Drosophila melanogaster: one gene and its partner. The protein of the gene in region 2 interacts with the protein of the main gene of each other region in a pairwise test. Each region holds a gene or a part of one and is shown on either strand. Other genes may lie near its edges.

What was found.
Region 1: the proteins of CG9040 (region 2) and Bacc interact in a two-hybrid assay, tested with the Drosophila melanogaster proteins (one large-scale study listed by BioGRID).

The regions. Positions count from the first base shown.
Region 1 is NT_033779.5:2,744,467-2,758,895, reverse strand, and holds Bacc (bacchus), read right to left. Parts: upstream 6,452-14,429; 5' UTR 6,056-6,451; intron 5,902-6,055; exon of another isoform or gene 5,828-5,901; intron 5,664-5,827; exon of another isoform or gene 5,525-5,663; 5' UTR 5,482-5,524; coding exon 5,236-5,481; intron 2,889-5,235; coding exon 2,726-2,888; intron 2,652-2,725; coding exon 2,602-2,651; 3' UTR 976-2,601; downstream 1-975. Other genes in the region: HemK2 (HemK methyltransferase 2), read left to right, coding at 1-346; Pgk (phosphoglycerate kinase), read left to right, coding at 10,515-10,576, 10,641-11,585, 11,644-11,884; Cwc25, read right to left, coding at 12,015-13,339, 13,402-13,624, 13,680-13,697; CG9961 (uncharacterized protein), read left to right, coding at 13,972-14,129, 14,184-14,292, 14,359-14,429. UniProt on the Drosophila melanogaster protein: Negatively regulates tyramine beta-hydroxylase tbh and thus the conversion of tyramine (TA) to octopamine (OA).
Region 2 is NT_037436.4:13,981,753-13,995,706, reverse strand, and holds CG9040 (uncharacterized protein), read right to left. Parts: upstream 7,830-13,954; 5' UTR 7,766-7,829; coding exon 7,280-7,765; 3' UTR 7,081-7,279; downstream 1-7,080. Other genes in the region: CtsK1 (cathepsin K1), read right to left, coding at 1-916, 1,307-1,355; CG17362 (uncharacterized protein), read right to left, coding at 8,591-9,052; CG17364 (uncharacterized protein), read left to right, coding at 10,199-10,586, 11,884-12,030, 12,106-12,267, 12,427-12,603, 12,855-13,942.

The DNA of each region.
Region 1 (14,429 bases), on a different chromosome or scaffold from region 2:
GGACGTGCTGCTCTTCAATCCGCCCTATGTAGTCACCAGTGACGAGGAGCTGCAGACGCAACAGTTCGATTCGCACAGCGAATCCTCAACGGATCGCAATCTGGTTTTCTCCTGGGCTGGTGGACAGGACGGGCGACGCGTCACGGACATTCTACTCAAGCAATTGGATGACATTCTTTCGCCTCGAGGCGTGCTCTACCTACTCCTGCTGCGGGAGAACAAGCCGGAGGAGATTATCAAATACTTAGAGGGCCTCCAGTTCCGGGCTGTTAAGTTCATGGAGCGACGCATTCCTGGCGAGCATTTGTGCATACTGAAGGTCACCAGGTACTTGGCATCATCATGACTCGTGCAATAGCATCAAATTAAAGTTGTATTTTAATTAAAAGATAAACTTTTTTAGGCGTTTATTCTTAAATTTGATACTAAATAATATGGAGAATAATTTTAATAAAAGTTGAAATAAATGAAAGAAATGGCTTATGAAACTTAAAAGCTCTTAAACTTTTAGAAATTTTTGCGCTTATATTTGAATTTGAATATAAAAGTAGCTCAACTTCATTTGCCCAACGAAGAGCCCGGAATTTCATCATTCGTTTTTTTAATAGGCATCTGCTAAGGCTAATCGATTTTCAATCCGAAAAAGGTACTTAATCAAAGGAAATTTCCGATTGAATTTTTCCATCATCCCTTAGTATATGATTTCTTTCATAGGGAGGATTGTGGGAACCAGCTCGTCAACCCCCGAACGAAAACTGGGATATGGAAGGGATGGATCGGAGTAATGTAGGGGCGGCCAATCTATGAATTATGTACCTACATACGTACATGCTCCTGGCTAAGAACTACTACCCCTGGGAACACCGAAGCGAGGTGATTGCCCCACCCAAAATGGCCAACTGCAATTGAAACAAACTTTTATTGGCATCGGAACAGATGCCAAATGGGTGGTATGTACGTACGGTTTTCGCTTTTACGTAATTACAATAATTTATTTCATCGTTCAAAATTGTTTCTTATTCTCGTTTTCGATTCGTGGTTCTTTTCTCTTTTTGCCCTTTCGCGCTACTAGATGTTATTCTCGCACGGAGCAGATACATGAGTAATTGGTATTTACAAAAATGCATAGTTCTTTAACATTGTCTGTGATATCGCTATTGTTTATCAGTTATCAAATCGGATGATTTATCTTGGGCATATTGGTTTAATTGCACTCAATTATTCAGTTGCTGGTTGGCATTACCAGCTTTAAGCCTCTTGGAGTTTGGATCTGGGTCAGTGGGTGGATTGTGTGTGTATGTTGGGCTGGTCTGTCTTTCCGGGACAAATCGTTTAGATTCGAGGATGGTGGTGGTTGGGTGGTTTCGGTGTCGAGTGCCGTGATTGACCAGCTGGGCACGATTCGTTTTGAAATATCAGTCGTTATATGTTTATATTGAGAACTCGTCGTACGGGGTGTGTGTATAAATAGTTTGGATGCCCTTACTAATTAGATACATGTAACATTAAAAGTTTATTTTCTTGCTCGTTTTTCGATTCTCGAGTTGGTTTTTACAATTTACAAATGAATTAGGCTTATCAACGACTCGCTCGCACAACTTATCAACAGAATAATAAAGCCCTCGCTTTAATACTGACATAAGTACTTAAGATTAGTCATAGTTTATAGTTAAATGCTGAAACGAAACAGAAGGTTAGAACTCAAACTTCCCGATGTTTTCCTTTCATTTTTTTTTGTTTTTTTTTTTTGTATTTGCCCCAAAAGCGAAGACCAACTAAGTCCCAGTGCCTTGGGTTTGGGAAATTCGGGTGACTGTGGCCACAATGGGCGCGAAATTTTTGAAACCATAGCTAAAACTTGAGTGTCATTGAATGCTTGTCGAGTATGGGGTTTCAATGATTTTTGCGATTTATTTAAATACAATTTTTATGTTTTATTTGTTTTGTATTTAATTGCATTTGCTGTTTCTTTTTCATGTTCATAATCATGTTCATTTTCAAATGTTCACTTTTGTATTTTTGCTTCTTTCGATCGATCATTCATTCACAAATGTAACGTCTAATTTAATAATGAATTTGAATATCGTGTGTGTGTGTGAGTGTAGTGTATCTGTGTTTAATTCGCGGGCTTCGTTTACGCTACATTTGAAATCTTTGTATATCTTGGTTTACGCATCAACTGGGCGTTTAAATTAGGACTTATGAGATAAAGGAAAGAAAGATTTTGGTTTTGTTTTGTTCTTGTATATAGTGGGGATGTTTACTTTTTGTTGGATTCCGTATAGGTTGCGTTTATACGAAAATGCCTTCAATTACAATTTTTGTTTGTTTTGTAGTTTTTTATAAAAAAAGTACACATAAAATACAATTAAAATAAGGTAAGAAATAAAAAATTATTTCTTAAACATAAAAATTATATACTTTTGCGATTTTTTTGTGGTTTTTTTCTCCTCCTCCTCCTCATTTTCTCCTTGTTGTGGTTTATTTTCTGCTTGTTGGTTTATTATTATATTTTTTTTGTTTTGTTTTTGCTTGTAACTTTTATTTATTATTAATTTAAATTTTTGTTTGTTTTTGTTTGTATTTTTGACTACATTATTATTACGCCTGATCGTCCGAGCCGGAACCGTCATCATTATCATCATCATCATCTGCGCGGGTAAGGGAAAGGGAAAATCCGGGGATTAGATTGATGTGGAAAAGGGAAGTGCTTCCGTGAACTCACCATCACATTCAATGTCATCCTCCTCACCATCGTAGGGGATGTCGTACTCGTCGCTCTCGATTTCACTGTCGCCCTCGATGATTTCCTCCAGAGCCTCTTCCTCATCGGAATCTCCATCGGCGGCCGCGGCCTTCTTGGCCTTCTTTGATTCTGCGGATTTGGCCTGGAAGCGAAAAAAGAGAAGTTAGTAGAGTTCCTTTGGTTTTTGTTCCGCTGATGATTTACTGTATTACAAGCAAGTTTATTGAACAGAAATAAGGGGCCCGTCACTATTAATTATGCATTTTTGATATTAATCTGAGAAACAAACTAAAGGATATTAGGGAGAATTACGGAGCGAAATGGTCCTACGCGCCCAACTCAAACCCACACATCTCCTTGATCAAGGGCATCCAATACCCCTCTCAACTTCCTGTGCGTGTGTACATAGTCATAAAATGTATATTTTCAGCACACAAAACAAGCAGCGACGAAAATCGTTATTTTCGCCGTAAAAAAACATTTGAAAAATGCGCGCGCCAATGTAATTCGCTGCGGCAAAAAGAGACAGCGGGAGAGAGAGTACGTGAGAGAGTGGATTACAAGTGCAACCGCGCTACATTACATCTGTGCTCCGTATGTACAAGGCGACATATTTACTACATAAGGGGGAAGGAAAAAAAAACAATAAGCAGCGACGCCGGCAGCGACATATGTATCCGCATCCGTGAGATACGAAACGAAGCGTGCCCTGTAAGATAGAGAGCGGGCGAGAGCGCCAGAGAGAGAGCATCTGAATCCGCAGCACTGTAAACTGTACCTGAACTGCATGAATGAATCTCTCGCTCTCACTCACAGCCATCCGAACGACAGCTGCTGCAGCGACGTCGGCAGCGAAAAAGGCGCAAAACAACAACATGCGTGGGTTTAACTTTTGCCGCTGACCAACCAACAACAAGATACACATAATGGTATATGGTTTATGGCAGTATATAGGCGGTCACGTTCCCAAGTCGAAGAGAAGCCGCAACACAAGGGCCCTATTTACCAGACTGTTACAAAGCGGAAGAAGCGAAAAACAATCGGACTGTGGAAAAATGTGCAAAATTAATGGCCACCCATCGCCCCCCTTTTTCACTTCGCTTACAGCATAAGTCACGAGACCCAGAACTCGAGAAAAGGCCAATAGAGGATTAAGACGAACAGGGTGTATCTGTATTGGCAAGAACTAAGCCTACTATTACTGGTGTTATAACTGGGTAATCAATGTATCTTGATTTAGTTAGAGGTTTTAGTTTGTGTTTTCTAAGCGTGAAGATACATTTATAGGGACAAAAGCTAATCTGTTGTTTGGAATCGAAAGATATGGAAACCAACGAATAATTTTCAAAACTATTCTTGAAATCTATACAATTCGTTACTGTACCACTAAGAATTATCCGTGCCAAACGTATCTCAACTAATTCATGATCATGGGATAATGATCATTATTCAATTGAATCCCGAAGAAACCCAACTAACTTTTGCGACACCCTGTTTAGCCGTCTTGTTTTATGTACTAAAATAAATACGCATAAGGCAGAGCAGAAAAAAAAGTGAAAGATAAATGTAAGCACATACGCAAACAGACAAAACGGTGTGTATACAAATTACGAGGGAGAGAGTTAGCAGCGCTCTCTATTTGTATCTATCTTTCTCCGGGGAGAGAGAGAGAGAGCGAGAGAACGCTCCCGTTAAACTGTACATTTTTATTTCGAGTTTGAGTCTGAGAAAAGCGCTTGATTTGCCAATTTATCTGCCTTACTGGCCGAACTATTTTATTTTTATCAAGAAATGTGCTACTCGATTATGGAATGCGACTGCTTCAGGCCCCCAAAACTTGTTCGAATACCGCGTGCTCTTGGCGATACTAACCAAAAATAAAGTGGCCAAACATGACATGAGTAATTTACCGGCCGGCAATGTGTGTTTTCATTGAGAGAGTGCATTGGCATCGCGCTGAATTGCGTTTGCGTTTGCATTTGCAATTCCCGTAGCCACAGCGACTGATAAATAAGGCCAAGCGTATGAGTTATAGACGTAATGCCACAATGTATCTATTGCTGGGTAACGCTGTTCAGCGGACACGTCAATGCTAATGACCTATGGGTTTATTAAAAACACATTACCCACCCCACCAAAGAAAAGGCCCTGGCTAACTGTACTCCCCGCCTATATAAGCACGGCGGCCCTCCTAACCTCGATTTGAACCTAACAACAATAATCTTTGATTGCCGGACCCGCAATCATCTTGGTTAATCGTAAACAACACAAACGCACAACCGAGCCAGCTATACGCTCTCTCTTTTGGGGGCATATGTAAGCCATTGGGAGAGTGCGCTGTTCCGAAAAACGTGTGTATATCTATTTCTAGAATTTTTCCTCGAACAATGCTATGCTACTGGCATATTGGCTTGGAGTGAATCATTAGAGGGGCCTCCTTTTGGTTTTACCGCGTAAACAACTACCTAGTCACATAGATCAGTACTCACTTCTGCTGGCCTCTTGGTGCCTTTCACGGATTCCTTTGCGGGGGCAGCGGCGGCGGCATCGGCGGCATCCTCGCCGTCCTTTGACGTACCGTTGTCGGCCGCGTCGCCGGCGGCATCGGCAGCAGCGGCCTTATCCTCGGCGGCCGCCTTCGCCTTGAGATCGTCCTTGACAGCAGACACATCATCTGCCGCCACCTTCTCCACGGCCACATCGCCGTTGTTCTGTTGTTCCGTAGCAGCCGACATATTTGAATTGGTTTCTTTGAGGTTTTCCGGAACTATTTAGTTTCTGCGTTATATAGAGAACAATTCGGGTTGGTTTTGTGGATTGTCTTGTTGTTGACAAAAAACCAGCGCAAAATACTCGGGGAAGGCGAGAGAGAGACAGAGAGAACCGCACCGAACGAAGCACACAAACACACTGAATGCGATTCAGCTGCGGGCCGTCTATTTAAGCACTGCCTCTCGAGGAGAGAGTAACTTTCTTTAAACGCTCTCGCTGCTCTCTTTTTCGCTCTCCCCGAAATCGTTACGACGCTCACTCGCTCTCTCTCTCCCACGCCATTGGCCCATACAATACACTCAAAAAATCGCCGCGGCATTTGTACAGCCGCAGTCGATAAGACAACAACAACAGCCCAGAGCAGAGCGATCGTTGGATTTTTGGTATATTATTTTGCGGTGATTTTCTGATAATATAGTATCTATATAGTAAGGCTTTAGGAGGTGCCATATATCAGGCGGCGCTACGGCAGGCAAAAGGATTTACTCGTAGGCCCCACTGATGTATGGAATATCCGTTTTCCTTTGGTTTGCTAACCACCGATATGTGCTCCCGTCGACGGTTCGTACAAGACTGAGCTTGCCGTCCGTTCGATGGCTAGAAATTGCCGCTTGCTTCTTCTTGCGCCAAATCGGTTGCAGACATTTTTGCCTATAACTTGAATACCTTTGTTCGGATCGGTTCAGAGACTGATCGAGGCTATAGCTGGTAGTATCCGCTTAATTTTGGGCTTTTTCCCGAGGCGCTGCGATCAAAACTAGATCCGCAAATGACAAGTTGAGTGGGTTTCCTGATTAATTCCATACAAAATCTGCTTGGGTTCCGTGAGTACGGTTGTGGGCGCGTTTGGCGGTAAATTTGAAAATTGCGCGCGCCAGTGGTGCGCTTGTGGGCCTGGGGGCGGGGTCTGGGGGTTGGTAGCGGCGATGGTGGTGTGTGGTGTGTGTGGTGCAGTCACTCTGTGGCGTTCTGACCGTTCGTCGGTGGAACAGAACAGAACAGAGCAGAACAGTGGATGTGGATGTTGCCGATGGGAAGAAGTGTTGCAGCATTGTTGCCGCAGATGCAGATGTGTGTGCTGTGTGTTGTATTCAGCACGGTATTCGTATTTATAGAGTGGACCAGCGTGGGACGCAATGTCGTCGCGGATTGGGGTCAATTGATTGGTAACGTGTGGGGAAGCAGGTGATTTTCGCGGACCAGGAAAGCGGGCAGCTATTTTTGAGATTCTAACTATTTAGATGCACGCAATCGGGGAAATGCTCTATTCCGGGATTATGCGTCTTAAAACTAGAATTAGAGAACTGGAGAAATAGCAAGAAAACAGCAATTTGCAACCCCATAAGATTCGAAAACATTTAAGGGTTAGTTTTCGAAATCGGCAATTTCCAGAAATATTAAACATCCTTAAGTCCTAATGGCCCCACCAAAGACTTCGACTTAAATGCCAATGCCTATCACTCGTCGAATTGGGTCCACCCTTGACTCTTTTTTCATGTGCCAATCTTTCTGTTGATCCCGCACTTGTGGTTCGACCATTTGATGGTGATGGCTTCGTTCGCCGCACGAACCCAGTGGGTTCAGGAATCGCCCAATATATGGGAAACTGGAACTGCCGAGTAGGCTATAACATATCGCCCATATCACCTGGTAGTCAACGTGCTCGAGTTGTACTGGCTCTTCTCTATAAATCTGTGTTATCAGTGGGACAATCACTGCGAGGTTGATCTTCAAGTTCATTCAAAATGTGCACATTAACGAGCGGAATAACAACCCATAAAGTAATACTAGAGGAATTCGACCGGAAGACATAAGGTTCTTGGTGCTATTTCCAGTAGCCTATCGACGAAAGGGTAATAACTATCGTTTGCCGGGTATCCAACAGTCGAGTTTCGATTGGACAGCCTCTCACGCTTTCAGCTATTTTCGTGCGAAAGCAATGGCAAATACGAATACCTAGGCTATATATCTGGTAATCTGAATAATACGGTCGACGACAGAGCGAGCGGACGACTGTCGACAGGCGGATCGCTAATTAAAACCGGCGAACATGTTCCGCGGCATCCCAACCGAGGCGGCATGGTGAACGTAAACACCTGTAATCGTGGCCCGTCGTCCACTCAGTTATCACATATTTGAGGAGCAGCGATGACTTTTTGCCTGAACATCGCTGCCTGATAAGCCGATTTGCGTCTCCATTTCGCTGTGCTTCCATGGGCCGCCTACCGTTCTTCTCTGGCTGTCACTGTCTCACTTTCCGTCCGCCGAACTCTCAGTATCCGTTCGAGTGGCTTGACGCTCGTCGGCCCAAGATTGGTGGGTCTCTCGCGATACGAATAGTCGTGCTCATCGGGCTTGTGAGACCACCTCTCGGTGTTGAACAATGGTATCTAGATTCCTGAGGACAACCTGTGCCAATTTCTCGAGTTATCGGCTTGGTTGGTACGACCGTAGTTACTTCAAGGTTAGACAACGGTTTCAAATGCAGGCAACCACCGGGTAGGTAGGATCTCAAGCAGGCAGAAATGGATGGATGGTCCTGCTTCCCGGAACCCAAACATCTGTCGATTCGGAAATTTTATGGCCCTTTCGAACACGAAACTAACGCAAGGGATTTTTCCCCGACCGTTGTCGTTACTGACCTGCCTCAGGAATTTCTCCCAGTGCACTTACACGTTGTTGCGTCATTAATTTGCTGTAGCATAAAGGTGCGAACAAATCTCAATGCAAACACAATCGATAGCCAGACGCTTCAGCTAGCATGTGTATCTAAAACACACACATCAGCTTGTATTCACGGCGATTAAGTTTTTCGCTCTTTCAGCTTAATGCGGTGCTTAATAGATTTCTTCTAATCGGGTTGTTAGGCTTTTCAAAAACGGAAGTTTCAGTTCTTTTGACAGCTTTATTTCGATATGATATCATCGATAGCATGGTAAACAATGTATGAAGAGTAGCGCAGCTCACCGTTCAGATACAAAACCAATTGTAGCGCATACGAATAGCCACCATAGGCTGTCCCTTCTAGCGCTTAGGTACCCAACAAGATGGCTGGGTGGAACAACATGAACAGGTTTACGACTCGATTAGAGTGATTGTTAGACTGTTGCTAGATGGGCGATTCGCTTGGTCGCTTGGCTGTTGTTTGGCTGCTTGACTCTCTGGATTCTTGATCTCTAGCGCTAGCACGTCATCGCCGTCGCCGTCGCATTGGACACTTTCGGAGTCGGGTCTCGTTTTCCCGGCATGTGCTAATGTTTCCACACGAGTGCCGGGCCACATGGACGCGACTCGACCAGGTATATGTACTGGCCCGGCTCACCTGCTCGCCTGCGTTTCACCTGCGTCAACGGGCGGTTTACACGCAATTATTAAAATGAATTTAAGCAGCCCCATTGTCTTCGATTTCCAATACCACCTGACCCAGCAGCAGCGCCGTGGTGTCATCACCAGTGGGTACCCGGGTCCTCGGCGGTGCCTTAATTGCGCAGAGCACCACAGCCGTGACGTGTGAGTGGACATTCTTCCGACGGCTGGCTGAAGGATGAAGGAGGACAGCCGCTACCACTGCAATGCTGCATCTGAAGTGCCCCAAATAGGCTTATACGCACCCCAGTCTCCCAGGCAGCCACCCAAAACCCCATCAGATATGGCAATCTATCGATTATTTTAGTGATGTGCTCACATTACAATTGGTCCTTTGGGCAGATTAGTTCTTTGAAAACCCGCCACTTTGGCTAGAAAACCCCCGAATGGCCAGCAACCAACCCAACCTCGTTCGTTCCCATATACCTTACTTTGCCATCTGCGTCATGCATTTCGCTGCACTGAGCACTTGTGGTGGGTGGTGGTGTTCCGTGTGCTGGGTGGTGGGTGGTGATGCGGTGGGTTAGCGTTTGGTGGTGCCAGTGCCGAGTGCCGCCGGTGGTTGCTTGGACCGCCGGAGATGAGTAGAGATACAGAGTGGGCAACAATGAATGAATCATTGGGGGAAGAGGCGGAGCCATCATCATGGCATCATAAGCGGAATCCGTTTGCACAGTCAAAATAAAACAACGGCCACCGAGAAAGATTGTGTGATTTGACTTTGTTGGCCTCAACAGAAATCATTTATTCAATAATTACATATTGACATACAAACATCAAAGGGGCGGCTGTTACATACGGTATGGACATATGTATGTACGTCGTAGATTATTATTATTTATTAAATTTTTTTTTTATTATTTTTATAAATTAATTATAAATTTTTATAAAAAATCACTAATTCGGACTTTCAGTTAAAATTTAACAGACATTCAAGGGTGTGGAAGAAAAAAGTTCTAAGGGGTTAAAATTTATTATAAAAAATTTATTAAAAAAAATAATTTTTATATGTATTTAAGTGAAAATATTATATGAACGGTTTCTATTTAAGTTAATATAAAAAAAATTGTATACTGTAAATAGCAAATGATCAATTAAATGATCTAGTCAGAATATGCAGACATTTATTTTGTTAATTTTTAGCATATGATTATCTATGGACAATATTTAAATATTATGAAAATAATGATATTTTAAATAATAGATTTTTAAATTTTAGAATTGTGTGGCCCCTTTTCGACACCCTTGGAACGGATGCTTCACAGCACTGTGCTGACAGCACTTACCAACACTGCTTGGGCGCCAAATACAGAGTTGCATTTGGAGAGTACAACTTTTATCCAACTTTCGAACGAGAATACAATCCGATACCAACTTCGGACTCCAAAATAGGAGTATACCCAGCTGGATCCTGCGCATGGCACCTACCAATCGGCGGAAAACCGCTTGCCACGGATTGACGCCCTGGAAGTGGAGATGCAACCCTAGCAGCTCACCGACAAAATGACCTTGCGCTGACATTGCCGCACAGCAGTTGAGGACGAAGAAGATTCGCGGAATCAGTGGTATCGCAATCCGGAGTTTGCTAGCACGCACAGGAAGTATCCAGAAAATCCAGAAAAATCCAAAGATGGCCTTCAATAAGCTGAGCATCGAAAACCTGGACTTGGCGGGCAAGCGGGTGTTGATGCGGTAATCCAAAGCCAATCCTCGCGTGAAATTCAGTTGCATAAACATTGCCCGTGCTTCTTTGCAGCGTCGACTTCAATGTGCCCATCAAGGAGGGCAAGATCACCAGCAACCAGAGAATTGTCGCTGCCTTGGATAGTATCAAGTTGGCCCTTTCCAAGAAAGCCAAGTCGGTGGTGCTGATGTCCCACTTGGGTCGTCCCGATGGCAACAAGAACATCAAGTACACCCTGGCACCCGTGGCCGCTGAGCTGAAGACCCTGCTTGGCCAGGATGTGATCTTCCTAAGTGACTGCGTCGGCAGCGAAGTGGAGGCCGCTTGCAAGGATCCCGCACCGGGATCCGTCATTCTGCTGGAGAACGTCCGCTTCTACGTGGAGGAGGAGGGCAAGGGCTTGGATGCCAGCGGCGGCAAGGTCAAGGCCGATCCTGCCAAGGTCAAGGAGTTCCGTGCCAGCCTGGCCAAGCTGGGCGATGTCTATGTCAACGACGCCTTCGGCACTGCCCATCGCGCCCACAGTTCCATGATGGGCGATGGCTTCGAGCAGCGCGCAGCTGGTCTGTTGCTGAACAAGGAGCTGAAGTACTTCTCGCAGGCCCTGGACAAGCCACCAAATCCCTTCCTGGCAATTCTCGGTGGCGCCAAGGTGGCCGACAAGATCCAGCTGATTGAGAACCTTCTGGACAAGGTCAACGAGATGATCATCGGTGGCGGCATGGCCTTCACCTTCCTGAAGGTCCTCAACAACATGAAGATCGGCGGTTCCCTGTTCGACGAGGAGGGCTCCAAGATCGTCGAGAAACTGGTGGAGAAGGCCAAGAAGAATAACGTGCAGTTGCATCTGCCAGTGGACTTTGTCTGCGGCGACAAGTTCGCCGAGAACGCTGCCGTCAGCGAGGCCACCGTGGAGGCCGGAATTCCCGATGGACACATGGGTCTGGATGTGGGTCCCAAGACCCGTGAGCTCTTCGCGGCACCCATCGCACGCGCCAAGCTCATCGTGTGGAACGGGTAGGTGTCACACTGAAGCTACTTCTCCAAATGTCCTATAATGGTTTTCCCATTTTAGACCCCCCGGTGTCTTTGAGTTCCCCAACTTCGCCAACGGCACCAAGTCCATCATGGACGGCGTGGTGGCCGCCACCAAGAACGGCACCGTCTCCATCATCGGCGGCGGCGACACTGCCTCTTGCTGCGCCAAGTGGAACACGGAGGCACTCGTCTCGCACGTCTCCACCGGAGGCGGCGCTTCGCTGGAGCTCCTGGAGGGCAAGACACTGCCAGGCGTGGCTGCATTGACCAGCGCCTAAGCGTACATATATACGGTATATTAATGTTAATCGCATCGTTTACCTTGTAAGCACAAACCACGACGTTAAAAAGTGTTGAATCTATTTGTTGCGGAACCATATAATGCATACGAAATAAAGGAATCCTAGTTTATTTGCGGGCAAAGTTGCTGTCCATTGAGGAGGCGGTGCGCTGTATGTTGTTGAGATTGGCCCGGATGCGATCGCCAATTGAGTTATGGTTGGCAATGGCCTTCTTCACCTCCTTGTTAATGAACTCCTTGTCGAAGTCTCGTTCACGATTTTGGGCCTCCTCGCGCGCGTATGCTTCTCGGTGCTTGCGAACCACCTGGCTGCGATCCGCTTCTCTCCAAGTGGCGTTGTCCATCATTTCGCGCAGGCGAGCTTCTCGGTCGGCTTCGCTTAACTTTGGCTTGCCGGTGGGACGGCTGGGAGGCGGTCTTTCGGCAATCCTTCGCTTGTCATCTCCTTTGGAACTTCGGCTCCTGCTGCGTTTTGATCTGGAACGCTCTTCAGGTGTCCTACTCCTGCGTTTCTCGCGCTGCTTTGAAGTGTCCTTGCTTTGACGTCTGGCTTTTCTGTCCTCTGGGCTCCTGGTTCTTCTCTGTCTTCTCGCTAAGGGACTTCTGCTCCTGCTCCTGCGCCTTTCCCTTCTCTCTTCTGGACTCCTTTGCCTTTGCCTTTGTTCCGGACTTCTACTCTGTCGCTTTTTTCTATCCCGGGGGCTTCTACTCCTGCGTCTTTCTCGCTGATTTCTGTCCTCTGAGCTGTGGCTCCTTTTGTGCTTTCTCCTTGGCTCTTCCTCTTCGTCACTACTTTCGTCACTGCTATCGCTGCTTTTCTTCTTCTTGGATTTCTTGCTCTTTTTCTTCTTGGTGGCCATGTCTAATTGATTTGAAATGGTGCGGTACTTGGCGTCCAGCAGCTTGTCCAGTTTAAGGTCACCTTGGTCTCCCTTGAGTTTGCTCACTTGGCGGGCTAATTTTCTGTCCAAGTCATCGTCGCTATCATTGCTCTCGCTGTCACTACTTTCCTCATTGCTGGATCGTCGGTTCTTCTTCTTCTTTTTGGATTTCTTAGACTTTTTGTTCTTCTTGTTCTTCTTCTTTCCCTCTGCGGCCTTTTGTTCCTGTTCAGTCTTGAGAATGCGATGGATTTCCTTCAGCTTGACGGGGTTCTCAAGCAGCTTTCGACGGGATTCCATTTCGCGCTGCTTGATGAGCATCAGGGGATCCTCGAGGGTCTTGCGCTGTATGTCCACCTGTTCGTTGGACTGCACATTGCGGTAGGTCCGGATGGAGAAGGGCACACAGTCGTGCTCCACATGGTTGATCGTTTGCTTGAGACCCACTGTGTTCTGCTCCTGGCGGCTTTCCTCCGCTTGCAGCGTCTCAAAGGACTTGTCGATCTTACGGCCCAGGAGGTACTCCTCGCGGTTGATCAGCTCTGTGCTGTCTGGAGCAAGATAAATATGTATGGATAATGAGTTTTATAAGAGTTTCACATGTATGACTCACTTTTGTACATCCACTCCAGCTTGGCCTCGCCGGCGGCTCCGCCATTATTGCTCAGCACTCCGGAACTTTCGCCCAATCGCCTTAGTTCCTCTCTGTCCCGCTCCTCGTTGATCTCCTTGCGCAGATCCTGCAGCTTGCGCTCCTCCATCTTCGCTTGCTCCTCCGCCTTCCAAACGCGCTCCTGGTTTTTCATCGTGTGCGGATGCCATGATTTCTTCAGATTCTGCGGGAAAAATCAATGGTAATTGACGGATAATCAGTTGGGAGACATTACTTACTAGATCTCCGCCACCCATCTTGGGTTTGATTTGCGTTTTAACAGCAAAACAAACAAATTACAAACAATTCCAGATTTTCCCTCCTTTTCTGTTGTTTTCAACAAAATCATATGTTCGCCCGGGCTGCCAGATCGTGGTGAAGTAATTTAACTTGGTGTTGCCATAGGGTTACATTTTTCTTTTACTTTTTCGAAAATTATTGAAAATAGTTAATTTAGTTACTTATTTTCATAATTACTTCCTCATCGTGCATTGTATTTTCAGTCAAAAACAGGTAATAAATTTATTTAATATGCTTCCAATTCGGCAGAGTTTATACCAAAGAGCTCAAACTCGATTTACAAAATTAAGATTTCCAAGATTTTTTAGCAAAGACGATTGCAATGGAAAGCAAGTAAAGAAGTTGAGCTTAAAAAATGTAGATGTGGCTGGGAAAAGGGTTTTTATGAGGTGAGTATCCTTGCCAGATATGTTTTAGTGTGTGATTTATAAATTTATTTTTAGAGTGGACTTTAATGTACCCATGAAAGATGGCAAAATAACCAACAACCAACGAATTGTTTCCGCACTTCCCAGTATTAAATATGCCTTGGACAAGAAATGTAAGTCCTTGGTGAGTTGATATATCTTCCTTCAATTCCTAAAAAGTATAGAACGAATAACTTAATTTTTTGCCTAGGTTTTGGCATCCCACTTGGGGCGTCCGGATGGCAAAAAGAACAAAAAGTTTAGCCTGGAACCCGTGGCCAA
Region 2 (13,954 bases):
TCATAGGGGAACGGTTTGCCGGTGTTGTAAATGCCCGATGATTTGTATCCTCGTCGTGCCTTCAACTCCTCTTCGGTCTTGTCGGCCAAGTGATTAACGGCCAGCGTGTAGGTGAGTTTGGCCCTGTTCTTTGAGTGGATGTAGCGCAGGTTCTGACGGAAGATGTTCTTGCGATGCTCGTGTTCCGTGTCGCTGTGATAAGCAACTCCGTGCTTGCGCTTGAAATGGTGGAAGGCCTTGTCCACATGCTCATCGGTTCCGGATATAAACTCCTGCATGGGATTGAAGGTGGCATAGTGACCGGTGCCGGGTCCGGGGAATCCGACGCACTGCAGGCTGTCATCGATCTCGAACACCTCGTTGGGAATATCATCGTGCTCGTAGCTGTCATAGTCCAAGTAGTAATGATCGTAGTGCGATCCCAGCAGGGTGTTATAGCCCCTCATCTCGTAGCGCACGGGAATGGGCATTCGGCTGGAGGGATAATGCGGCGACTTCTTGTACCGCACCCACAGCGTATAGATGTTCTTCTTTTGGCCAATTGTCGACTCCAGGCGGAACTTGTCGCACGTGTAGCCCAAAAAGGATTCGGTGCCCACCAGGCTGAAAGGTTTCGCATCGGGCAGGATGCTCTGAATATCGACAGCCTGGTCGGCGGTGCCATTCACCTGCAGACAGGTTAGCTTGTTGTTCTCCGTCTTGGTGGTAATCGGTGCCAGCTTCAGCAGGGTTCCGTACTGACCCTCGCCAGCCAGTTGGTATGTCTTCACCATTCCGCCGTAGTAATCGATGCGGGATCGCCTCGTATTCTTGTCATACCAGGCGTAGAAGGGTTCCGCAATCTCGGCGTACGGAATGTACAGGGTTCCTTTGACTATGTAGTTTGGATCCCATTTCGGCGGATTCGTGGCATTAGCTATTGTCGTTGGCGAAAGTGTGGAGAGATTCAGATGAGAAATGAGCGGGAACTTGACAATAAGAAACGGTAAAGGGCAGCCATCGAGGTTTAAGCTCACGCCATTGCTTATATACTTCGTATATATACAGCTGCGGTCAAAATAGCAGTACATGCCCTTTTACGTTTATTTGATCTAATTTAAAAGTTTAATAAAAACATGTTCTTTTTACTTTTTAAATATACTTCATGGCAAAAAAAATGATGATAAGCTAAAGTTTCAATCCTAAAACGATGACCTCGATTGTTTTAATATATGCATGTGTGCATTAGTTTAAAGCGCACACAAACGCAGAAACAATTACTCTTTGTTTGGCTAAACACTTTAGCATTCTAACGTCTATAACTCACCTGAGAAAGCCAAGCCTGCGAGCAGGGCTAAAGCTAAAAACACTTGCATTCTTGAGAATTCACCAGAGAATTGTCTGGAATATTAATTGATCCCGACTCTAGTATACTACCTATCTTTTCGAAGAATTAAACTGTTCTGCCGGCTCAATAGTCCGATTGCTTTAACAACAACTTTCTATGGGTGAGGAGATAACGCCGCCGTGAAAAACATCGGTATTAATCGGTTGAAGAGCTTTCTAGTTTGTAATAAGAGCTTATCAAAGTTCTTTGCTTTTTGTCATGGTAGTATTTTATTCTACAAATTATTCGCAATTCTATGTAATCCGTTAACATTTTCTTTTATTTAAGAATTTCTTTATTAGAAGAAATATCTTTTCTGTTCACTTACTGAAGAATTGCTTCTTTATTTTAATAAAATATCATGTGCTTCGATTTTGTAACTTAAGAGGTTTAGTTTGATTTTGCAATATTATTTTAAATATCGATAGCAATTACAATTTTTATTGCGTGCACAGGGTGCACATGATTATACAGATATTTTATACATCTAGTGTGACCAAAGTGCTGAGATTAAATGTTTTTTTTTTTAATTTAAAATATTGGATGCACTTCTTTCTGGCTAAGCTTTCAATAAAAAATAATCGAAAAAACCGCGAATGATCTAATATTCAAGATTAAAATAGAAAAATTTGTCAGAAAAAAATAAAACCGTGTCTAGGGATCAAAATCGGGATTGGAAAAATTCTATTTTTAAATTCGTTAAACAGCTGACAGTCAGGAGGTATAGATAGTCACTCATCTGTCTCATCACAACGACTCTCTCTCGGCTCTCTCTTCCCTTCTCTCTGTGTCTCAGCGATATAAAGTCTCACCCTCTCTTCGGAACTTGAACCTACTCCAAGTTTTGCTGCATTGCGCCCGCTCTCAAACCGAACCGATAGTCGGACAGCACGGGATCCCGAAAGGACCCCGAGCAGATGTCAAGCTACCACCGAAGGAGCAGCATCGTCGTCGTTGTCGTCCTCGCCCACACATCGTTCTTTACCGTTACAGCTGTGGGTTCGGCTCAGTACCGTTAAGTTCGCCAATCGCACAAGTTCGATTCCCAAATCGCATGGTTTTTTTATACCAGCAAGAACTAGACAACACACAGATATCTGGTAATGTTGTAAGACGTGGATTAATGCAAACTGCAAACCGTACAAGTGCGCCGTACAAGAAAACGCAATTAAAAGTGCATTAAAAATTAAACGAAAAGTGCTTGTGTGTGCGTGCCAGTGAGGCAAAAAGTTTTGCCTGCGCCGAATTGGCCAAAGTTAAATGTTTTAAACGCCAAGTTAGGCGAATTATGTGAAAGTTTTAACGCGATAGGCGAAAACAAAATGTTTCTGTAATTGGCGGCGGAGGAAAAGCAGTCCGAAAAAGGTAGCAACGTTGCTGAAAATGAAATCAAACTTTGATTTATCGCTGATTGGTTCCTGATTGGCTGTTTTGGCAGGCCTTTTGAATCCCCACACAAAAACAAGAACTCCCAGACGAACATACATATACATGATCCATCCACATACATAGGTACTACAATACAATACATATGTATGTACATAGCTGTTGGCGTTTATATGTATGTGTTTTTGGTTCAAATCTGTATAGTATTATGGGCATAGAGGAGCATTTCCTGCCCTTGTCACAGTTGTTACATTTTCTCTATTCCGCCGCTCACCAGCTCACACAGTCGGTCATCAAAAAGTCAACAAAAACAATATAAATTATGTTCGTGGAAAAGCACAAGCAGCAGGATGCTAGAAGACCTTGAATGCCTCTTAAGGTGTAATTGGATATTGACGTGGAACGAAAATTGCATTTTGAGCAAGGAATAAGAGCTTCTTTGTAAAAGGATTGTTTGTAATATGAAGCATATTTGTTTTGGCCTTTTAGTGGAATGAATGTGATTCAATATAAAAATACTTTTGACTTCGTTTTCTCTCAATTTTTAACAAGAAATAGTTAACCATTTAGTGTAGATAATCAAAATCCTATGTGCGAAACTAGAGAATCATTTATTTCTCCCTAAAAGAGAAATATGTAAATAGTAACGTCGTATCCATTTAAAAAAAGACTAGTAAATTTAATTTTTAAATAACATTTACCTAAATTCCTGGAACCAAACTGAAAGGCAAAACTTTCTTATTTATGAGCCCTTTTCAAAAGTTTGCCAAAAAACATTTTTTAATTTTCTCACGTTTTAATCTCTCGCAAAACTGGCGAATAGTTCGTTTTGGTAGCATACTTTTACGGGTCACGGAGTCCGTAACTTTGAATTTGTGGGAATCAAAATCTGTAAGGCCCAGCTGACTTGGGCCCCCAGTGAAAGACAAAAGCCAAACACACACACACAAACACTCATAGGCGCGCGCGCGTGTGTGTGTGTAACCAAAAAATTATAAAACTTTTATTACCTTAGAGCAGGACACGTTCCGAAGGGAAAAACGGAAAGTTCTAAAATATATTGCATATACGTATACACGTGCATTTGTGTGCTGCTCTCTCTCTCTCTCGCTCTGAATGTGTGCGAATGTTTTTGTGTGAATGTGATTTGTGTGCGTCTGCGGGTCCTCTTTCGCTGTGTGTAACCTACATTTTAAACGGCATCGGCATCGGCGACACATAAGAAGCCAAAAGCCGTGGCCGAAACCAAGTGGGCGGGAGTCTGGGGGCGGTGGGGCATTTCGGCGTATGTAAATTTGCCTTTATCAGTGCCTAAAAGTAGGACCCCCATACACACACGCACACGAGTGCAGTTTCCGTAAAGCCCTATGTACCGCTAGAAACAACGGTACTCTCTAGGGGCAGGCGCACCGCTCTTCCGCTCTCTCCGACTTGCTCCTCTCAGAGAGGAAGAGAGGCAGAGAGCGGGCCAAGCAAGCTTCGGCGATGCAGAATGCAGGATGATGTTTGCGTTCGTTGCTTCCGTTACCGTTACTGTAACGGTGCCCCTCTCCCTTCGGAGAGGTTCTGAGGTATATCCTAGTACACACACACACACTCACACACAGGAGCAGCAGGATGTGCGTTCATTCACATTGGCATTGCAAGTGTGGGCTCTCAAAAAATAAGCTATTTTGGTCTACATGGAGTGAAAAAGGGTTACAAATTCAAAAAGGAATGCGAATATAAAAATGTATGTACATATAAAATTTTGATTTTATGTTCTCTTATTAATTTGTATTATTAAATATGAAAATATTATTTTGAAATACAGAATAATAAGGTCAATTAAAATAAATAAATGTGATCCTTAAATACACATTACGAAATCAATAATCTAACTAGATTCACACCGAAAACGTAGCGAACATTTTTGATTCTGAATGAAATGAAATTTGTATTCGCAACACCCTTTTTAACAGTGTATGCAATGGCCACTAAGCCCATGCCAATCCCTTTCGTTCTCGACTGCCCTTGTTATTGGACTTGCATTTCCGCTATGGCGCTACTTGCCCCAGCCGGTTGAAATTTATATGCAAAGTGCTGGAAGGGATTGCATTATGCACATTTTAATGGTTTGCCGAGACATAAAAATATCTCGCACTTAAATAAATTGCTCTGCTCTTTGCTAGTTACTCGCTCACTTTCTACGAGTCCTTTGCCCCTATGCCGCCCCTTGTGCTGCTGACAAAAACGCCATCGCTTATAAACGTGTCGGTAATTACATAAACATTCTGCCCACCGTCGGGTTAGAAATATGCACGTATTTTTGTTTGCCAACTAAATGCCTTGTTAGAGAAAATTTCTTTGGAGTGAGCAAACTTTTAGTTTCCCTGCCCTCAGCCACTTTTTGCCGCACCGAAGGAATGGAAAATAAATTGCCCTCGAGAAAATGCAAATTGTTTTTCAAATTATACATCCACAAGGAGGAAGTTTATGTCTTTGTTGGGCGTTTAAGATTTTTATCAAAAAGTGAGCAATGTGAAAAATTTTCAAAAGTTTGATTTATGTGCTAAATATTGCAAAAGATATCAACTTAGAAGAGATATAACTACACTCATGTATAGATTGGTTAGTATAGAACTATTTAGCTAGTAAAGAACGATAAAAATATGTATGTGAAGGAAATGCTCTAAATATTTATCCATATTTCACAAACATGGACAAGATTGTCTCATAATTGAAAAGATTGTTTGCGAGACCTATGTAAATAAATGGTCGTCATTTTTAAATTTCCAATTCATTTAGCCCCAGTCTGTGCCCCATCTGATTTGCATTGCAAAACATGTAAATGTCAAAAGCAGTATCTAAAATGTGACGATCTGTTCCTCAAAGGTGCCCATCAACGTCAGCAGCCACACCTACAATCTGCATATATCGGGCACTTGCCATCATCATCACATCATTGTGAGTGCTAACCAAAGCAACACCACCGACCGCCATCATCCTGGCCGTTATCATCCTCGGAGGCAAACACATATTCCATTATAATTCCCGCCGCTGTGTCCCACTTCATATCCCACTTCTGGCTATTTTTATGCCATTTCTGCATTGTTCATTGTTTAGCGCACATTATCGCATTTTCCTCTTAAGGCATCAGCCACAGATATTACAGCAGCCTTATCCTCCGCTCCCACCTCCCCTCTGATTCCACGTCAGCCCATCGCCTACAATTGCCAATGGTGTTAGTGTGGTGTAATACCCTGTAAAAGCTTAGCTAGTTTGGCGGATCCTGAAATAGGATACTTATAACATTCAGGATCAAAGCTGTTTTATTATTATAATAAAAAAAGGATTTTAACAAAATAAAATTATATATAAGAATGTATAAATCAAATCAAAGTTATCCACAATTTAATGCAACTTTTAGACATTTGCGTAGATAACACCAAATCTAGTAGATACATAGAATTTTCGATAATTTGCAACCATTTCCTGCTTGATATTGTTATTGACTGGTCATCCCAACCTAAGATTCCCGGCGAATTCACAAATCGGTTCATACCCTGGTGATCTGGTGGTGGGGATGTAGGGTGGAAACTAAAACGATGATTCAGATTGTTGCCACACTTGGCTCACTAAGCGGCCCAGCGGGTGCCACAAGAGGAAACATCGGTGTGTGAGTGTGGTTGTGTCTATGGATGTGTGCTTTGCCGCCACCAGCACACTGGAAGATTGGATCTCTCTCGGGCAAACACAAACACTTGGATGCGGAGTGGCTTTCATCTGGGCCGCAGTGCACTGGATACACGGGATTTCTGTTGGCAGTGCCACTGCCAGAATGTCGGCATTGAAATCGAAAACAATGGTCCCATTGTGGTGGCCGATGGCGCTACTCAGGCTCCTCCCTTTTCGTTATCCTTTCGCCATTAAACAATTGTCGCCTGTGCGCATCAGTAATTAAGTGTCCCTGTGCATTTATGTCTACTTGTATGAGGGCATAATTACTATTTATAGATGCTATTGGCTTACGTCTAAATAGAAACACAATGCGCCAAAGCGCTGGTAAATGTAAATGTGGGCGCCTAAAAATATGCAGCAAAATGCAGCTGACTTTGGTAATACTACGCCACTAGAACGATTTATACTAATCTGGCTGCAGAGACTTGTATATAAACCACAACAGTTTATTAAATGAATGTTTCGTTCAAAAAATTTTTTTCCTTTTAAGGAATACTTGATTTTTAGTTGGCTTTCGATTTTAAGTATTCAGAAACGATTTGTAATGATTAGTTTCTCTCCGAAGAAAGATCATTTAAGCCCTCAAATACAAAATTGTTGTATATTTTGGATTAATAATGTATATTTTTGGTAAATTACAAAACGTCTCCTTATCTTTGTATTTTTATATGGATTTTTTGTACAGAAAACAACATATGAAATATTCCCAGACTAATGTAGATTCTACAAGATGTCTCTTGGTCCTCTTAAAAGTTTGATGTAAAAACTTTCAGTGACTATGGGGAATTTATCCTTTTTTCGAACTGCTTAGCCTGTGCGTTTGCGTTTGTTGGCGGCAGTATTCGCCTTCTTCTTGGCTGCCACAGGTGTCTTCTTCTTTTGGGCAACAGGTGTTTGCTTCTTGGCAGACGCGGCTGCCGCTACTTTGCGTTTGGGAGCAGCGGTGGTGGTGCGCCTGCGCCGTCTAGCTCTGCGTGCAGCAGTTTTCTTGGCTTTTTCTGCCTTGGTTGGAGTTGAACTGGAGGTCGTTTCGGCGGAGGAACCATCTCCAGAAGTTTCTGAAGAACTACCTGTATCGGAAGCTTCGCCGGAGGAACTGTCCTCGGAGGTACTAGCATCATCTTCTGAGCTACTGGATGCACCAACACCACTTTCCGAACTGGACTCTACATCAGAGTCGTCATAGTAGTCATCACCATAGTCGTAATAATCGTAATAGTCATCGTCAGTGTCATCAGCACCCGTTACGAAGGCAACCAATATGGCCAGGCTTAAAACCAACAGCAGCCTCATCTTTTTTTTTTTGTATCTATAGAGTCAACGAACAGATAGGTAACCTTAGGTATAAACGTCTGAGTTTAAAAGTCTTCAACACTGGGTATTTATAGTTTTTTCTCCTCTGAAGAAATTTATAAATATATAAAGCTTTTTTACATTATTTTTCTATGTACATCTGTAGAATGCAAATATTGGTTTTTTAATTCATCGTCTTAATTTTCGGTGGCTTAGAGCACCTGTGTGTGCTGCTTGTATTTGTTTAACATTTTTCGATTGCTATATGTTGAAATTATGAAATTATATTTTGTGTTAGAGCACGAAAAAGTAATATAAACTCTTTTATATTAAAAGAGCCAAGGTCACAAATGTCTTATCTGGATTTTTGAACAATTTGTCTATGGTTTACGCGTTAGGCGACCTGCTAGTAGTTTTATAGAAAAAATAGATATGACATTAAACGTCTTTAAAATTATATAATTTTTCAAGTATATGCGGTGTATGTTTTTGTTTATCAAAAATATATTTATTTACAAATGAGGGAAAAAACACGTGCCGATAAAAACTTATGTAGAATGTTTTCTTGTCTTTTGAACATTGGGTGAAATAGTTAAATATATTTCAAAATTTCTGTGATATTCAAGTTTTGTACAAAATTCATAATAATAAACACCCATACCCAACAACCACATTCTTGGTAAATATCATTATCATTATTATATATTAATTCAAAACCTAACTTATAAACGTCATAGAAAAAAATCTTGGTAATTTTGGGAACAAATTTTTTTGGTATAATTTTTTATTTTTATAATTTGTAGCTACGAATATAATAAACTGGATTTATCCAGAGCGCCTACGTTTGTTGGGTCCAGCATTTGCCCGCTTCTTGGCGGCAACAGGTGTTCGCTTCTTAGCCGCCTTCTTGTTATTACTTTTCTTGGCAGCGGCGGCATTGCGACGTTTAGCTGCTGCCTTATTCTTGTTGTTCCTGTTGTTTTTCCTGGCACCAGCTCTTTTGTTCTTTTTGACAACTGGAGCAGCAGTTGGTGCTTCCGTAACATCGCTAGAGCCCTCGTAGTCGTCATAGGAATCGACGTCCCCAGAGTCGTTTCCACTGTCGACGTCAGTGGAGCTATCACTAGTGTCTCCAGAATCAGCAGTGTTGTCTTCGGAGCTACCGGCAGTATCGTTGTCATCAGCGTAATCGTAAGAGTAATCTCCATCGTCAGACGAATCAGTTGTCTGGGCCACAGCCACGTGGGCTACGAAGACTGCCAATGCCAGAACCAGAAGAAGTTTCATTTTCGTTTTGGGGAGATTTTGTGATCTAAACGAAGAAAGCTCAATCCTCTGGTTTATATACCAACATATCAGTCGAATCTCGTTTTTCATGAATCAAAAGTAAATATGATTAAACAAACACACATTCGTTTACTTTGGGCCAGCTGTGTAGATGTTTTTTTGATTATCAATTTGTTTTAGAAATTTTAGATAATAATATTAGCCCCTGGTGGTTACCTGTAAATACTTTTATAAATCAAGTAGATATATAACGTTTTATGTTGTGGAATAAAATAATATATTGTTTGTCGTCTACAATATAAAACGAACGTTTATAGATCCACTTTATCTACACGCAGTTAAAATTGCGTTCACTTTCAGAAAACGTTTTCAAACGCGTAATCTACGTGATTATTTAATGTGATGGCACGCACTACTCATATTATTTATGGTTATTTTAGTGAAAGCACAAATTTATATGTTTGACCTTTTTCCGTGCAATTTCAGCTCGGGATAACGAGCCGCGGCAGACCGAAAGAGGACCAACCCAGATTCGCAAAGTTCGTGCCATAAATCTGCAGTTTGCATGGAATTAATACCCGACTAGAAGGCGGCGGCAGACGTGCAGCGGTGCTGCACATGCAACACACATTAGTGGGTCACTCGAAGATGATGACGCTGCTGACCGCAACGGCAACGGTAGAAGTAAAACCAACAAAAACAAGCGCCACTCGAGCCGATTTGTGGCAGCGGGGGCAAATTATATAAAATTATCATGCAGGGCAGGCAGCTAGCTAGTTGGCCACTTGACAACGGCAGGCGGGACAAGGCTAAACATCATCATCAGGAGCAGCAGCAGCAGCAGCAGCAGAAGCACCACTACCATCACCACCAGCACCAAAAGCAACAACAGCGGCCGGCGACGTATACGTAATGTGCAGCATGACGTATACGTAATGTGCACCGGGGTTTGGCCAATTTGTCCAAAGCGAGCTATAAACCACTGAGGCAGCGGAAACGCAAACCAAAAACCGAAACTCGAGCTGCAAACTATAACATAAACTGAAACTGCTAACGACGCAAACGGAAACTTCTTGGCCAAATGGCGAAAGTTCGCAAACAATTGCGAATGTGTTGAGAAGCGGCTGGCGGTGCGAAAATGACAAAATGGCGAAGTTAACGTTGCCTTGTCTACTGCGGCGACTGCAGCTGATGGCGCAACAACATCAAAAACAGCAGCAGCTGCATCCACACGGCTGCCACTTGATGGCCATGCAACTGGGCCAGGCCGTGCTCCTCTACGGTTGCCTTCTCCTGCTCCACGCCTCCGTGTCCGCCTCTGTCCTGGCCACGTCCTCCGACTCGGCCGCCATTCCGATCCTGCTGAACATCTCCAGCACGATGGATCTGGATGGCGTACCGCAGCAGCAACAGCATGAGCATACCGAGAAACGCACGCGGAAGCGTGATGCCGCCAATGTGCCTGATGATGACGACTATGGCAGTTATCCGGACGACGTCGACGAATTGGAGGCCTTGCTTAATAATAAGTCAGGTGGGTTCGGGTTCAAAAATCACTACATTTTATTTTAAAATCTATTTTAAAGCTATTGATAAATATGTTTAAAGAAATCCCAAATTCTATAACTATAAAATAACTTGCATGTATTTTCGTTGTACATATAATTCCAATTCTGCAGCTTTTATTTTTGTTTAAATGTATATACACACCAGTTACTTAATTAAGTCCTTAAATACAAGTACTTGCTGTGAAAACTTATCTGTGCGCCGCTTTGTTTAATCCCATTTCGTAAATGAATATTTGTGGCTGCTGCACTTGCGAACCGAAATAAATGGAATTTTTGTTGATAATGCACTTGGCCGTCGCTGCGTTTCGTTAGTTTGCATTGACCTTTGCTCGGTTCCGGAGTCCCAAGTCCAAAAACCGCCGAGATCATGAGAGCCATAAATTGCACAACATCCAGTCGCCATTCGGGTCCTTTCATGGTTGTTTGTTTAACTTTTATTTTTGGCACATCCTGACCACCTGGCACCGCATCTGCCGCAGCAGCTGCAACTGCATGATTCACGGTCCCATCCATTTTATCTTGGCCATGATGCGGGAATTACCAAATACGAAAACACACGCTGGTAGCCCATTATAAGTTTTTCCAAAAAAAATAGTAGGAAAACAGCATGGATGTGCAAACAGATAGAATTGTGATTTTAATGCAATTGATATTCGGTGTGCAATTAAATATTCAATTTTGATCCAATTTGCATGCCAACGGCAAGCTGATAGTAACATTTCATATATGCATATTTGCACCTAATATGAACATTCAATTTATTTCTGACAAATTTGGTAATTTGCGTTGTTAATGTGCCAGCCTATAATATTTGATTCTAAGAGAATTGCATTTGATATTTGTATGAAGACAATTAAATTTTATGATTTACGGTTGAGTAAACACTCTGAATTCTGATAAACGTACGAAATATTTTACCACATTTGATAATCTGTTAGTAAATTACTCGGCACATTTCTGAAAAAAGTGCATTGTAAATTCAATTTATAACTTGTACTTGTTACAATTGTAAAATATTATAGTTTCACACTTTATTAGCAAACATGTGCACACATTTTTTTCCAACACCAATTGATTTTAAATACCAATTAAGAGGAATATTCAAATAAGGCTGCTCTACATATATAACACATTTGCAAAGCTCAATAAGTCCTTAAACTGTGCAAAAGGCTTTTGGTCGTTTTGATGGCCTGACATTCATTTAATTTGCATTCTTTTAAAGATGGCTTAATTGTTAATGCAAATTGGGTTTGCGCATTGCAGCTAAGGGGAAATATATTGGAGCGCCGTGCAACGAGCTGAAGTGTGACGTCAAGCTGCTGCACGTATCCTGCGACAAGGATTCGCAGACCTGCAGCTGCGAACGCAACTACCCAGTGCAACTTGGACTGATAAAGGGTTGCGCCAAACGTAAGATATTGCTATTGCTGCTCAGCATATAGATTAGATATATATATATTGATTGCCCATATTAATTATTCACAGCTAAAAAACTGGGCGATCAGTGTTTCTACGACGAGACCTGCATCTACAACGATGAGAACTCCCTTTGTGTTCAGGTGCGGCACAATGCGATGTGCCAGTGTGCCAGCGGATTTCACTCAGTCAGCTACGTGAAGCCAACGCGCCGTGTCTTTTGCACACCAGGTAAGGTTTTTCTTACTCAAATTAACAATTTAAATAGTTCTAATATGTTGTAACATACTTTGGAGCGAGTGCAGTATAAGTAGCATTAGCTACTGTTACCTAAAATCATTATGCTACCAATTATGCGACTATTTATGTTTAATCATTTTATTTCTATAGATCTCAGCGAACTGAGCTCGGATCTGCCCACCTTGTTGGGCGTCTCCACGGGCATCGCAGTTCTGGCCGGGCTCATCTGCATGGTGCTGCATCTGTTCAGCAAGACGAAGTATCCGCGGCATCGAAATTACGGAGATGCCAGCATTCCGCCGCCCATTCTGTACTCCAGCGATACAGGTGAGTGGTTCAAACAATTCTCAAATGTCCACAATGTAAAGTCCTTTAGTTTAATTTAAAATAAATATATAGATTTCTGTTCTTTTCGTAGTGAATTAATAGCATAACAATTCAACCTTTCTCTTAATCTGTAAACTGGAATTAGTTATTCCCTTTTTGACATTTAGTGATCTCCATTATATATTTCTTTGCTTTGCTTGAAGTTTGTACTGATATTCAGCTTACTCATAAATGTATGACCTTGTTTTCAGGAATACCGCTTACCGTTCACTCGGCGCGTCCGTCGTCGCGTTCCAGCATTCGGTCGACGGGATCGATTGGCTCCTACGGCAATCGACGCGCCTCGGCCGGCGGACTGGGCGGGGGTGCCGCCGGAGGCGTGGCAGGCGGGGCCGGCGGTGGAGGGGCGTCCGGAAGCGGCGGCTCGAAGGGCATCCTGGTGTCGACGTCACGAACAGGTGCGGCTAGATCGGCCGCCATATTGCTCATATCGTGTCACATAGCGGCGGTGTCCAAACAGAATTCCCGGGCCTCGTCGCGGCACACATCCGGAGCGGGCTGCAGCCAGCATTCGCGGGACGACCTGGATGATGGTGGTGGTGGCGGTGGAACTGGCAGTGGGAGTGGTTGCCGCAGCTGCGAGAGCACGCTCTCGATGAACCGCCACCTGCAGAAGCAACTGAACCACCAGCGGCATCTGCTCAGCTTCGAGCTGTCGCCGGCGAGGTCGAGGAATCAGGATAGATTTAGGACATTATTGGGCATGAATGGCATTGAGAATTTTGGGGGCAATGATGATGAGGACGATGAGTGCGGTCCGCATAGCATAGAACCCAGCACGACAGTCCCTCATGCACATGATGCCCATGCCATTGCCCATGCCGATAGCGATCCGGCTCATCCTGGTGCTGGTGGTGGTGGTGGTGGTGGTGGTGCTGGTGGTGTTGGTGGCTACGGCTACAGCTACGGCTATGGCCATGTCGGTGTGGTTGGTGGTTACGGCGATGCCGACACCAATGGCGGCGACTCCAGCGGCGGATTCGCCACTGGCGCCGAGCTGCATCACCTGCAAATTGGCGCACTGCCCACGCCGGCGAGTGAAACGCCACGATTTGCGGTAAATCAACTCAAGCATCAGTCATCCCGCATCCATTTGTACGATCGTGTGGTCTGCTCATTCCCATTCGCATTCCGTATCGCCATGTCCATGTCCATGTCCATACAAAATATAGAGACACTTCCACATCACAACAAAAACAAGGTCAACTATATGCTACTCGTATCTGTTCAATGGTTGCATCCACTCCTGGTTAGAGATCAATTTCAAAGTCTGTGCTAGCCCTTAGTTTGT